Drosophila melanogaster: one gene and its partners. The protein of the gene in region 1 interacts with the protein of each later gene in a pairwise test. Each region holds a gene or a part of one and is shown in the gene's direction. Other genes may lie near its edges. The genes, in order: CG12725, Nopp140 and CG3663.

The links.
Region 2: the proteins of CG12725 (region 1) and Nopp140 interact in a two-hybrid assay, tested with the Drosophila melanogaster proteins (one large-scale study listed by BioGRID).
Region 3: the proteins of CG12725 (region 1) and CG3663 interact in a two-hybrid assay, tested with the Drosophila melanogaster proteins (one large-scale study listed by BioGRID).

The regions. Positions count from the first base shown.
Region 1 is NC_004354.4:13,401,274-13,404,449, reverse strand, and holds CG12725 (uncharacterized protein), read left to right. Parts: upstream 1-1,586; 5' UTR 1,587-1,735; coding exon 1,736-2,227; 3' UTR 2,228-2,611; downstream 2,612-3,176.
Region 2 is NT_037436.4:21,831,122-21,837,231, forward strand, and holds Nopp140 (Nopp140), read left to right. Parts: upstream 1-1,652; 5' UTR 1,653-1,757; coding exon 1,758-1,856; intron 1,857-2,058; coding exon 2,059-3,708; intron 3,709-3,949; coding exon 3,950-4,108; intron 4,109-4,345; coding exon 4,346-4,759; 3' UTR 4,760-4,861; coding exon of another isoform or gene 4,862-5,014; 3' UTR 5,015-5,564; downstream 5,565-6,110. Other genes in the region: CG7148 (uncharacterized protein), read right to left, coding at 1-365, 425-975.
Region 3 is NT_033778.4:24,659,541-24,662,951, forward strand, and holds CG3663 (uncharacterized protein), read left to right. Parts: upstream 1-1,962; 5' UTR 1,963-2,054; coding exon 2,055-2,177; intron 2,178-2,247; coding exon 2,248-2,457; intron 2,458-2,514; coding exon 2,515-2,808; 3' UTR 2,809-2,869; downstream 2,870-3,411.

The DNA.
Region 1 (3,176 bases):
GACCGGCTTCTTGTGCATATGTACATTGTATATGGTGCCCCCACTGCTGCTCCTCTGCTCCGCCTCTGCTGACACTGGCGCTACCCTTTCGCTGAGATCGAGACATTGCGACTGCATGCCCCTTTGAAAAGAGGGTGTGGCCCACAGCGAAAAGAGAGCGGGATATGCAAAACTTACCTATCGTAACTCGGGTATTACCAATCGGATGGTGGTGAAAATTGGTACCAGGTTTTATTACTCATTTTCTTGGCCGTATACCAAAATTCATACTAAAACTTACATAAATGCGATAGTTACAAGCAGCTTATATTTTAACCATAAAGTCATATAGAGTCCATATAGCTTCCCTTGCCGCTATTAAACTCGATGCATTTACTCAGGGCTTAACGAACACTTGGCTTAAATCCATGTGTTAGGGCTTTCCCAATTTTCGATAGGGTATTTCAAGTGTGCCTAGCTGTTCGATTTTATCGCTGTTTGTTTTGCTTTTAGTATTTTGTTGCTGCTGCGGCTTTTCTTGTTTTTGTTTTGCTGGTTTCTTTTTGACTCGGTATTCGGCTCTTTCGCCTTTGTACTGGACTAGCTTTGATATATTCGTGCGTTATCTGGCGACGATTTCCAATCAGAAAATGCTTAGTATTAATAAGTGTTTTGAGGATCCCAGCGATCCCAAGCCCCACAGCACCCCACTAAACGAATCTACGATGTGCGGTGTTATCTTGTTTACCAAAAACGGGGCCAATAACAGAAAATACCAACAAGAACAAGAAACACAACTATACCTTCCATATCGGTCAGCGAATTGTTTTTGTTCAACTGTTGAGCTGATAAAACTGGGCCGAAGTGCCAGCCAAAGTGCCTTGTCTTCGGATGTATCTGTATCTCTAAGATGCATTCGCTGTCACAAGTGTACGCTGTCCGTACAAGGTGGCACAACAGTTGGCACAAAGATACTTGCCACGATAATGGCTCAATAGAGTGCACTACACTTCACTTTTGATCAGCTGTTCATTTCGTGCATTTTCAGAAATTTCGCTATGATTATCCTATAAAAAATAGTTAATTTCTATTGCTAATTATTTAACTTACTAACTTAAAAAGTTGGAAACATTTAATTTTTTATATTTATTTTTGAAAGACGACCTTGGCAGCTGAAAATTATGGCATCGAATTCGTCAGAGGTTCATATGAATCGCGGAGGAGAGCAAACCGCGCTGAACGGGTCACGCCTTCACATTAAAGGCTTTTCTTAGTACCTCGCCAAGGATCGATTTGCTCAATGTATTCACGTTCTGGTCCTTGGAGGCCACGTGGCCGCTGGGCAGTGGAGCCCCGCTCTTATGAGTTTTCTCTACCTGTATTGATTGAAAATATTTTACTTTCACGTCGAAATCAAAAATAGTGACTATTCAAAGAATATGCAACTGTTGTGGGTTAAAGCGCGAAAATGAATTTTTATTAAATTGGAATAGCCGAATATATCAACTTCAGGGTTGCCAATTGCTCCTTATGAAATTCGATTGGAGAATCGACAAAGGAAATCAAATAAGGTAATCAAGGATGCCATTAAATTTAACTCGCACTAGCATTCGCATGACGACGACAGTTTGATAGGGGATTCCAAGAGCAAACTTTTATCCGAACGAAGCAAAACTTAGAGCTTGTGTATAAAACGAAAAAAGTTGCAGTTCGACGTGCCAGATACATATATATATATATATATATCTGGATTAGGATGCGTAAGATGCAAGTTCTAGTTCAGACGAGCGACGGCAAGAAGACGGTTTACGATGTGGATCGCTTCGGAACGGTGGCCAACCTGAAGGCACGGATCGGGCGAGCCATGTCCGTGCCCATGGGCTTCAGTCGGCTGTCCTACAAGGGTCGCGAGCTGTCCAATCAGAGCATACTGGAGGATGTGGGCCATAAGTCCATTCTGGATCTCACCTGGAAGCCGGTCGTCCTGACGCCCAAGCAATTGCGCGAAAAGAAGATTGGCAAGTTTAGCAAGTTCGGCTATGGCAGGAAAAACGATAGTGGTGAACATATGTCTACATTGATCGGCGGTTACCAGCAACGCATAGATCTGGAAAGTGACGATGATGAACTGGAGGCACAGGACTTGACTGAACTCGATTTGTTGTCCCTTAACTCCGATGATTCACTGGTCAACAACCAGACGGAGCTAGAGCCGATTGCTCCATTGAATTTCTCTGGATCTGATTAAGAAGGCTACGAAGAACGACAATAAGCAGTAGACTGTATTAAATAATCTTCAATTCAAATGACTGCGCTCATTTCATTTCAAAGTTCCTTCCAATGATTTTCAAAATACAAGCAGAACGGGTCTTAGAACAAATGCTTTATTTAAGTTGCATTATAAAAAAAAAATTCGAGAATACCACCCATTTACGAATCATTTAAAGTAATTTAAAGTAATTTCGAATTTGTTTACACTCAAGCAAATAATTAACGTCTCATGGCCAATGCCATAAAAATTCTTAAAATTTATGTATTATTTATGGACTGCATGGTATTCCTGAAAAGCTGAACTGTAGAACGAAAGCCATTTAACTCAAAAAATATTTATAAATATAGTTTAAATACATTCAACTGGTTTTTTTTTTTTTTTTTTTTTTTTTTTTTTTTTATTCATGATGATGTTTTTATTATTTGATCAACGCACTGTTACCCATGCGGCAACTTAATTTGATCTGCTTAAATTATTTTATTTTACAATGTGTCTTGGTTACTTAAGACTAACAGATTTTTAATCCTAAAAATGATAGGGAGAATTATAATAGTTGATATAACATAGTAATTATTATTTATTTGATTATTCTAATGAATTTTAAAACTAAGACTTTCTAGGTCAAAACCAGGTTAGGGAGGTCATGAGGGTGGTGATTCAACTGGTAAAACATAATTCGATATCCTGCAACTCTGTGATATATTTTAGCATACTTTTGTGCTGACTATTTAATGAGTTGCCCTCCCCCGTCCGCTACCAACCGATAGATGGCGCTTACAATTCTGTTGAGGTGTCGAACTTTAAATTTCATAATGTAACTTAGCCAAATATAGGATACTGATTGTTTTTCTTTAGTTTAAATGAAAAATGCAAACATATTCAAACTGTATAAGGTTGAAAATATCGTATACTTATCAATAAAAGT
Region 2 (6,110 bases), on another chromosome or scaffold:
GCGTCCAGATGGGCAGCTTCTCATCCCAGCCCGGTTCAAGGGGCATATAGTACCCGTCCACGGCAAAGCCGACGATGTCCTTGGCCTTGAAAGCCATGATCTCGTAGAACTCGCTGACCTCGCGGATCTTGTGGTCATAGCTATCCGGACTGACCAGCGGGGGGATATGCCACTCGTTGTCCAGCAGCACCACCAGTTTCCTGAGGGAGGGCAGCTCCAGAACGGCGGGTAGAATGGGTTTCAAGGTGGCCAGATTGAGCTTAAGATCAGTGAGGTTCTTAAAGCTCTGCAGGCAGTTTCCCAGCTGAAGTTTACTGATCATATCGTACGTCCTAATGTCCAGGACCCGAAGATCGTGCAGCGTGCTGTGGCGCAAACGGAAAATGAGTTGCGAAATATTATGCAGCAGAAGGTTACTACTTACCGGCACACCTCGTCCAGGTACTTCTGCTGCAGCTCAAACGCCTTGTGCTGGTCCTCGTAGAGGTGCAGCTCCTGCAGGTGCTGGAAGTTGGATAGGTACCGCCCGTCGATGGGTGTGGTAAGGCGCAACTTTTTCAAGCCCGGCAGCAGGCGGGCCAGCTTGCGGATGCTTCGGTTCGTGGGATAGCAATCGACGCCGTCTGGGTCGTAGTAGAAGCTGGTCACCATGGGCAGCTCTGCAATGTGCATTTCGTCCAGATCTTTTAGAATGGAGCACAGACAGCTGCTGCCGCCCATTTCTCTGATGTACGGACGCATTTGGGTTAGGAAGTAGACCAGGTCTTCATGATTGGGCAACAGTACCCGCCACTTCTCCAGATCCAGTTGCTCGTAGGCATGGCTGGTGCGCCACTTGCTCAGACATATGTACTGCACTCGCCGGCAAGTCCTCGCGAAGGACACTTCCGACGGCAGGTCCTGCAAGCGATCGAAAATCTCGGCCAGACAGTCGTCGTCCAATTGCAGAATTAGGGATCTCGGCTCGGAAGCCATGGCCCGGGATGCGATCCTCGCGACACAATCTAGGTACAGAGTCTGTTAAAATAGCCGGAGCGAGAGATAGTTTCTGTATTCTGGATCGTTTCAAGCAGGTCAACTCAATTGAATAACAAACAAAAATACATTTTGGTGCTCCCCCAATGTGACCAGTCGTGGATGGTCTGAATACCTCACGCAAAAAACGTAGGTTCCTTACATTATGTTATATATACGCTAATTGTTTGAATACAATTTAATAATACAGTTTAGTAATTTATATATATATACATAGACATATAGACATATATATATATAACAAATTTAACAATACAAATTTATTGTTATATATGTCTATGTATATATATATATATATATATATATATATATATATACAAAACTAAAATTACAAATTTATTGTTATATATGTCTACATATATACATATACATATATATATATACATATATATATATACATAGACATATATAACAATAAATTTGTAATTTTAGTTTTGTCTAACGTAGCCTAGCGTTATTTCTAATTTCAAGATCTTTGTCGGTGTGGCATAAATAAATGATTACAATTGATTGGCATTTTCGAGTTATTCTTGGGAAGAATACCCGCTGCATTGACAGTGTTGAGAAACGGGGTGCAGGGGTGGCCACACCGTTGGCAGCCGCGTAGTGCTGCCATACCACTGATAAGTAGAAAACACGTGTGAGTGCGCATTCTTTTTTGTGGGACAAGCGGCTAGTAATTATTTGCGGACGGAAAATATTGACGAATAGTTGAATTAATCATGACAGACCTGCTAAAGATAGCCGATGCAATCGTCCTGGAGTACTTGCAGTCCAAGGACAAGAACCTAGCCAAGGTTTTCCAGCAGAAGACGAAGGCGGTAAGTTTCAGTGCAGAGCGGCAAGTGCAATATGTGCGGTTTGGATGCACCCGAAACATGTGGTATCTGCGTCCTCCTGATCTAGAATCCGAGGGCCTTGCTGTCCGCCGATGGCTCATCGAGCTGTCCACCTGCCACTTGCTGCAAGTGCCACGTGCTTCGTCCAGATAACCAAGAATTTCTGCCTTTTTCTAACTTGCAGGCCAGTGTCGCCAAAAGCAGCCCAAAGTTGAGTGAAATCCTTCAGTTCTACCAGACCAAAAGCCCCAAAAAGATCCCAGCAATCAAGGCGACAGCCGGAGACTCCAGCGAAGACAGCGACTCAGACTCTGAGTCTGATGCGGCGCCTAAGAAGCCAGCGACAGCTCCTGCACTAACAAACGGCAAGGCTGTCAAAAAGGCAGCTTCTTCAACCAGCGAGGACAGCGATTCAGAGGAGGAGAAGAAGCCAGCAGCAAAGGCCACGCCGGCCAAGGCTGTCGGCAAGAAGGCAAAATCCTCCAGCGAGGACAGTTCCTCGGAGGAAGAAGCACCCAAAAAAGCTGCTCCAGTGAAGGCACCTCCGGCCAAGGCGGCTCCCGCGAAGAAGGTTGAGTCCAGCAGCGAGGATAGCAGTTCCGAGGAAGAACCGGCAAAGCCCGCCGTCAAGGCCACAACGACTAAGGTTGCTCCCGCCAAGAAGGCCGACTCCAGCAGCGAAGAAAGCAGCTCCGATGAGGAGACTAAGCCAGCTGCCAAGCCTGTAGCCAAGGCTGCACCGGCAAAGAAAGCAGCATCCTCCAGCGAGGAAAGCGACTCCGATGACGAGCCAGCCGCCAAGAAGCCTGCCGTCCAGCCTGCCGCAAAGCCAGCTCCTAAGGCAGCCGCTTCTAGTTCCGAAGACAGCAGCTCAGAGGAGGAGGTCAAACCCGCTGCTAAATCTGCTGCCAAGTTGGCTCCTGCTAAGAAGGGGGCTTCCTCTAGTGATGATAGTTCCTCTGAAGACGAGGCACCCAAAAAGGCAGCAACTCTCGCAAAGCCCATTTCTAAGGCTGCTCCCACCAAAAAGGCCGACAGTTCCACTGAGGATAGTTCTTCGGAAGACGATGCTCCTAAGAAGGTAGCTCCAGCAAAGGCTACGCCAGCTAAGGCAATTCCTGCCAAGAAGGCAGCTTCCAGCGATGACAGCTCCTCGGAGGAAGAGGCGCCCAAGAAGGCAGCTCCAGCAAATGCCACGCCAGCTAGGGCACCTCCTGCCAAGAAGGCAGCTTCCAGCGATGACAGCTCCTCGGAAGAAGAGGCGCCCAAGAAGGCAGCTCCAGCAAAGGCCACGCCAGCTAAGGCAACTCCTGCCAAGAAGGCAGCTTCCAGCGATGACAGCTCCTCGGAAGAAGAGGCGCCCAAGAAGGCTGCCGCCCCAGCAAAGGCGACACCGGCCAAAAAGGCCAAGTCTTCAAGCGAAGACAGCGACTCCGATGAGGAGGAAGCTCCCAAGAAACCAGCCGCGAAGGCCGTTGCAAAGGCTGCTTCTTCGGAAGATAGCGATAGCTCAGAAGACGAAAAGCCAGCAAAGGCTGCTCCCAAGGCTCTGGCCAAGTCTGCAAAGGCTGCCTCCTCAGACAGTGACGATTCCAGCGATGAAGAAACGCCGGCAGTGAAGCCAGCTGTCAAGAAGACTGCTGCTCCTGCGAAGAAGGCTGACAGCAGCAGCGACGAGAGTGACTCTGGTGAAGAGTCCGGCGAGGTCAAGCCCAACTCAGCTACCAATGGCAATGAGAAGACCGCTCAGAAGCGCAAGTTTAGTGGTGGCGACCAGGACGAGGCCACTCCCAACAAGAAGTACAACAACTTCGTCAAATCGGGAGAGCAACAGGTAAGGCGGTGTAACTTATCTATGTACATCTAAAATTATCCGCAGTCCGCTTATGCATGTTTTCCTTCAGACATCAATTTTGAATGTCGGATAAAAATAATTCCTGAGTTAAAGGATTCCCTTAAAAGTAGCTTTTTAAAGCCCTATTGAAATTTGAGCCGAACTTTAAACAGCACATAATTTTGGCTCCTTGTCCGATTCCTGTGCAGACAGTTTTACATAACTTCATTGCCATTCGCAGAAGAATGACTTCACCTCCACACCTAACAACACCTTCAGCCGAAACCATAATATGAACAATAGCGGAGGGGGAAGTGGGCGACGGTCGCCCTTCCGAAGGGTACGCACCGAGGACGTGGTGGTGGACTCCCGAGTCCAGGACATGTCCTTCGAGGCGAAGGTAAGTGCCGCAATGGATTTGAGTCGCGTGGGTGTGTGTGTTTGCGACGGCTGTTGAGGATTAGGCGAGGGGGATCTTTCTACGAGGCTGAAAGGGGCAGACACACAAATTAGCAAGTTGCTCCTCGAAGAATCTCAAACCACTTGTGGCACTTTCCCAATACATTTTGAACTTATATATCAAATCAAATCGTTGCTAATTTGTGGTTTGCCCCTTTCGGCGTTTCTACCATTTCAGGAAAACGACTTTAAGAAGCACAACAACGGACGGGGCGGCCGAGGAGGCTCAGGCTTCTCCGGACGACCGGATCGCAGCACTTGGGAGACCAACAAGTTCAACGGCGAGGGCGGCGGTGATGGAGGCGGCTTCAAGAAGATTGGCGATCGCAAGAGCTTTGGAGGCTTTGATAACAACCAGCGCGGAGGACGTGGTGGTGGCGGTCGTGGAGGCGGCGGAGGCTTCGGTGGTCGTGGCGGTGGCGGCCGTGGCGGCGGTGGTGGCTTCGGAGGACGTGGTGGCGGCGGACGCGGAGGCGGCGGCTTTGGAGGACGCGGGGGCCGCGGTGGAGGCGGACGTGGAGGCGGATTCGGCAACAAATCCTTCGACTCGTCGGCGCCAAAGCAAAACAAGAAGATCACCTTCGACAATTAGAAATAGTTAGTTAGCGCCACCCACCCGCAAGCACACACACACACACTAGATGCAGTTATATTATCGGATTAACCCAATTTTATTATTTGCTCACCACGATAGAAAAACGCTGCCGGATCCTGGGGCGAGCGAGCCAACAAAGATCTGAAGCACACGCGCGGCAAGTCCTTCAAACACGAGAAGACCAAGAAGAAGCGCGGCAGCTACCGAGGTGGCCAAATTGACGTAGGAGTCAATTCAATAAAATTTGACTAGATTTATTACACCTATAAAATAATCCTTATTCTAACGGATATAACTAACTAGTTTAAGTAAAATATTTGCCTTACGCAATAGTTCCGCCAACATGTAAATTCTTTCCAAACTCTTGATTGACTTCGGGAAGTCCGTACTTCCGTTTTAATGTGAATTATTCGAATGCAAATTGGCGGTCGACAAACCCGTGACCAAGCAAATGGTTATTATGACTTTAGCGGATTAAACCCTTTTTTTTTCCTGATCGGACGGAATGAAACCCGAATGCGTTTCGTGGATTTTTTATAAGCCTTTAAGAGTTAAACCCCTATACATTTCTATTGTATATTATATATATTTATAAGGTTCATAAAGAGTAAGCCAAGGTATTTTTCAGACGCTTGGGTTAAATGAAGGGTTGAATTTTCCGCTAACTTGTGGTGATAGCCGGTTTATGAATGCTTATGACAACTTCAATATGTAAAAGATTAATTTGTTTTGTCACATTGGACAATGTATTTAATTGAACTAAGAAAACACGGAAAGAAATACATGTATTTTTTAATAACAGAATTGTTTGTAGTTTGATTACAAATTTGAATCAAATGAAACTAAACCTTTGCATGTTCTCTTCAGACCATCAAGTTTTGAAGTTTAAATTCTACGGGTTTCTAATCTCTAAGAACTCATCTTATTTCGGGTAAAGGAACTGCCCCAATCGATGCGGATAGCATTTTGGGTTAAACGAAATGTTGAAAACGGAACCCAAATAATTCTTTTTAATTCTTTGTTATATTTATTAATATGAATTTGATGCTTACGTTACATGTAACTAGGTTTCACTTTATCTCTTCATGATCTTTCACATTTAGTATTCAGAATGTATTGTCGTTTGATTTCACATACATAGGTGTGTACATTAAGTATTTTATAATTGAAAACGGTTCAACCAATTCAAGCAATTTCGATAACGAATAAAACATAAGGCGGGCCATTTAATTATAAATCATATATAATTAAATAATCACATTGCGTTTAAATCGTAAAATAATGATATTACATAGTATTCATTTAAAATATCCATGTCATGGTGTGTTTGTAGTTCGAAGGTATCAGC
Region 3 (3,411 bases), on another chromosome or scaffold:
TTTTAGTTGCTCCACCTAAGTGACTAACTAGGGGCTTTAGATTCATATTGTGGAGCCAGGCAGCAATATGCAAATGGAACTGAATATTCGAAATGAAATGCGTTTACACAAGTCGAGTTTGTCGAATCAGGAATTACTGCAAATAAAACTACAATTGATTCGCATTTACATTTCATTGGGCAAATTGCACAATTGCAAATGGCACTGCGGACGGAAAGCGTAGCTCAAAGACTTCAATACTCTAAATAAATGGCATAACATTTTCCCCGCTCCTACATTCGATCTCGCATGAGAGCACTTTCCCCAGGACTCCCAGATGGAGCTGGAGCTGGAGCTGGAGCAGGAGCTGGAGGATGGGGGATGGGGGATGGCCTCAGAAATCACATAAAAATACAGTCAGACGAACAAACTCTCTGGGCGCTTGTTGCTGCTCCCCGAGCATCTTGGATTTTTATTGCCATATATTCGAACTTATGGCTGTCAGTTCTGAAACAACAAAACGAACGCAATTCGACTTACTTACGCTCGCAAATTGTTTCTCAAATGAACAATTTTAAATTTTCACATTCAATAAATTGCTGCTGGGATGTGAGCAAATTGCTGGTGAGACATTTTGTTGTTTGCCCCCTTTTCCTCGGTAGATGAAAAAACTTTTTGTCAATTGTGTCGACTTATTATTAGCATTAGCACTTCTCGACTACGAATCCAGCACACTTCTCAACTGAAGGAGCTTTAGGCTTACATCTAGATTTGGTAGCGAAAGGGATATGAGATTGCTGCGAATTATCCTTTTCCACGCCATTGCAATACAATACAATAAGCATTATAGATGCAAATATACAAAGTATTCGAAAAGTACCAGGCTGTATCCAAATCGAAAACCGGAAGTTCCATCAACGTAACGCACCACTACTTCGCCAACAAGTGCGGATACTTCCCAAGTGAAAGTGTAGCAGAAGGAAAATGCAAATGACTCTCGATTCCGGTGAAGCGCAAATGGCGTCGAAATTGAAAATCAAGATGACTTTTCTTGAAGACTAGGAAAATATAGAGCAGAGATGGAGAGGCGACATGAATACAGAAACGCAGGCAAATAGCAAATACAGGTGCTATTCAGGTGCGTACGCATGTGTTTGTTTCAGACATTTCGATTACTTTTTGAGTGGTTCCACTAAGGTTTCTCTTCCTCGGCCCCCAAATTGCAGCATCCGCAAGCTTCGGGTCTCATGAAATATGTAGACCAGTAATATCTGGGCGGGGAGAGGGGTTGCGGAGCGGTAACAGGGGGGTGGCACACAAAAGGCGGCGCAAATTACTAAAATATGCATGCGACTCGCCATGGCCATTATCGTGGGCTTCCTTTGCCCGGAGAAGTATCGGGTCCATCGAGGCTACGTGCCGGGAATGTCCAAGAGATTGCCCGCCGGACACTCATTTCGGTCATGTCAATGGCATTGGGATTGGACTACCCCTCCTCCGCTTCGCATTTGTGGTTTTTGAAACTGCACGCATTTGATTGCGTTATTGAAATTGACTGGGCCGGTGGCTTCATTACTATAATGTCGGTGTGCCGGTGAGGAATTCAATTATAAATGCCTTCGGATTCCAGGATGCCTTGGCTTATGAATATAAATCTGCTGCCTGTGCGAAGGCGGAGTGAGGCGTTTAAGTAATTACACATTTACTTGATGATGTCGCCGTGGGCAAAGTTAAATTAAATGAAGATTTCGTTTTAATTAACTATGTCGGCTATGTGGTCTAGTCTGTGTAAGCATCTAGCAATATTTGGACCTCAGTTTTCCGTAGTTTATATCTGAAGTATTGCAACTTGTAAATAAAAGTTTGAAGTTTGAATATCAGTTACAGCCATGTACTAAATCTTCCATTAGGTAATCGATAAGTGCTTTGCTTATAATTCTTATCGGTATCGATCAAGCCAACCGTTTCGTTTTTTCGTACCCCTGGTAGTAAACAGCTGATACAATTTGCAGTTTATTTAACAAGTGAACATTGCGTATTTTCTAAGCCGAATCTAGTAAATAGTGTGAAACAAAATGGCCCTGCGACGCTGTCACTTGAACCCGAAGAAAACGCTTTTCCTGTTGTGCGACATTCAAGAAAAGTTCCGACCGGCCATGCCGCTCTTTGATAACATGATCAAAAACGTCGACAAACTAGTGGGTTGAACTTTGATTTTGATATTGATCCTTATCATTAACCTGTGAGATTAACTCAAAAAAATTTTAGACTCGGGCGGGAAAGGCTTTAGATGTTCCTCTGATTGTAACCGAACACTATCCGGAAAAACTAGGAAAAACAGTGGCCCAACTGGATGTAAGCCATGCGAAGCTGGTCTCCGGTAAAACCCTTTTCAGCATGTTTACTCCCGAAGTCAAGGCTGTGATCAAGGATATCTTCAATGACAAGCCAGAGGATGTCGTGCTATATGGCCTCGAGGTGGGTTAAGGAGAAAAACACTCTTATTCGAAAACATTAAATTCAAAATTTCAACAGTCCCACATTTGCGTGGAGCAGACCGCCATCGATCTCCTCGAGCAAAACATCAACGTATACATAGTGGCGGACTGCTGCTCCTCCAGGCTGAACCAGGATCGAGATCTAGCCCTGGATCGCCTGCGTCAAGCGGGCTGTGTGATCACCACTAGTGAGAGCGTTATCTTCGACTTGGTTCGAGATAAGAACAACCCCAAGTTCGATGTGGTCCGGAAATTGGTGAACCAGCCGTCGGTGGATATGGAACTCACGCGCAACGGGAGCGGAGTGCCAGCGGGCAGTGCCAAGCTGTGAGATAGCCCCTCCTGTCTAAATATCTGTTTGTTATAAAGCCAATTGCATTTATAAAACCATCATGCAGAATTGTGCTTTTCAAGGATACGCGGATGGGAAATGGGCCGAATGGGCCGAATGGGAGCAGCACCCATTTAAGTTGTCATTTCCGTAACATATTCCAATGGCCCCGCACAATGGGCGAGTCCATATTTGAATTTGCCGTTTAACAATAGCCCCAATGGCTTCCCTTCCGGTGAGTTCCCCCACTTTGCCCCATTTCCGCTGGGTTCCTTATTATGCGGATGACAATGCGTATTTTATGCCGCCTGTCGGCATTGATTATAAAGCTGAGTGCTGTTCGGTAACCTTTTATTTGTGCAGCAGTGTGGGATGAGGAAATCATCATCATTCCACATGACCCATTCAGGGGCTCTGTAAGCGCAATGTCTAATTGGACAGACCCTTGGATGAAGATGCTGAAGCGCTCTATGAACTGTAGCCCAACAGCTCTCAATATGAGTTCTACCAGGGGAACGTTTTATTGGAACAACAAGACATTACCTCACCACTCATTTTATGGAAAAAACCGCCGTTTTATAAGTTAAGATTAACATAACATCA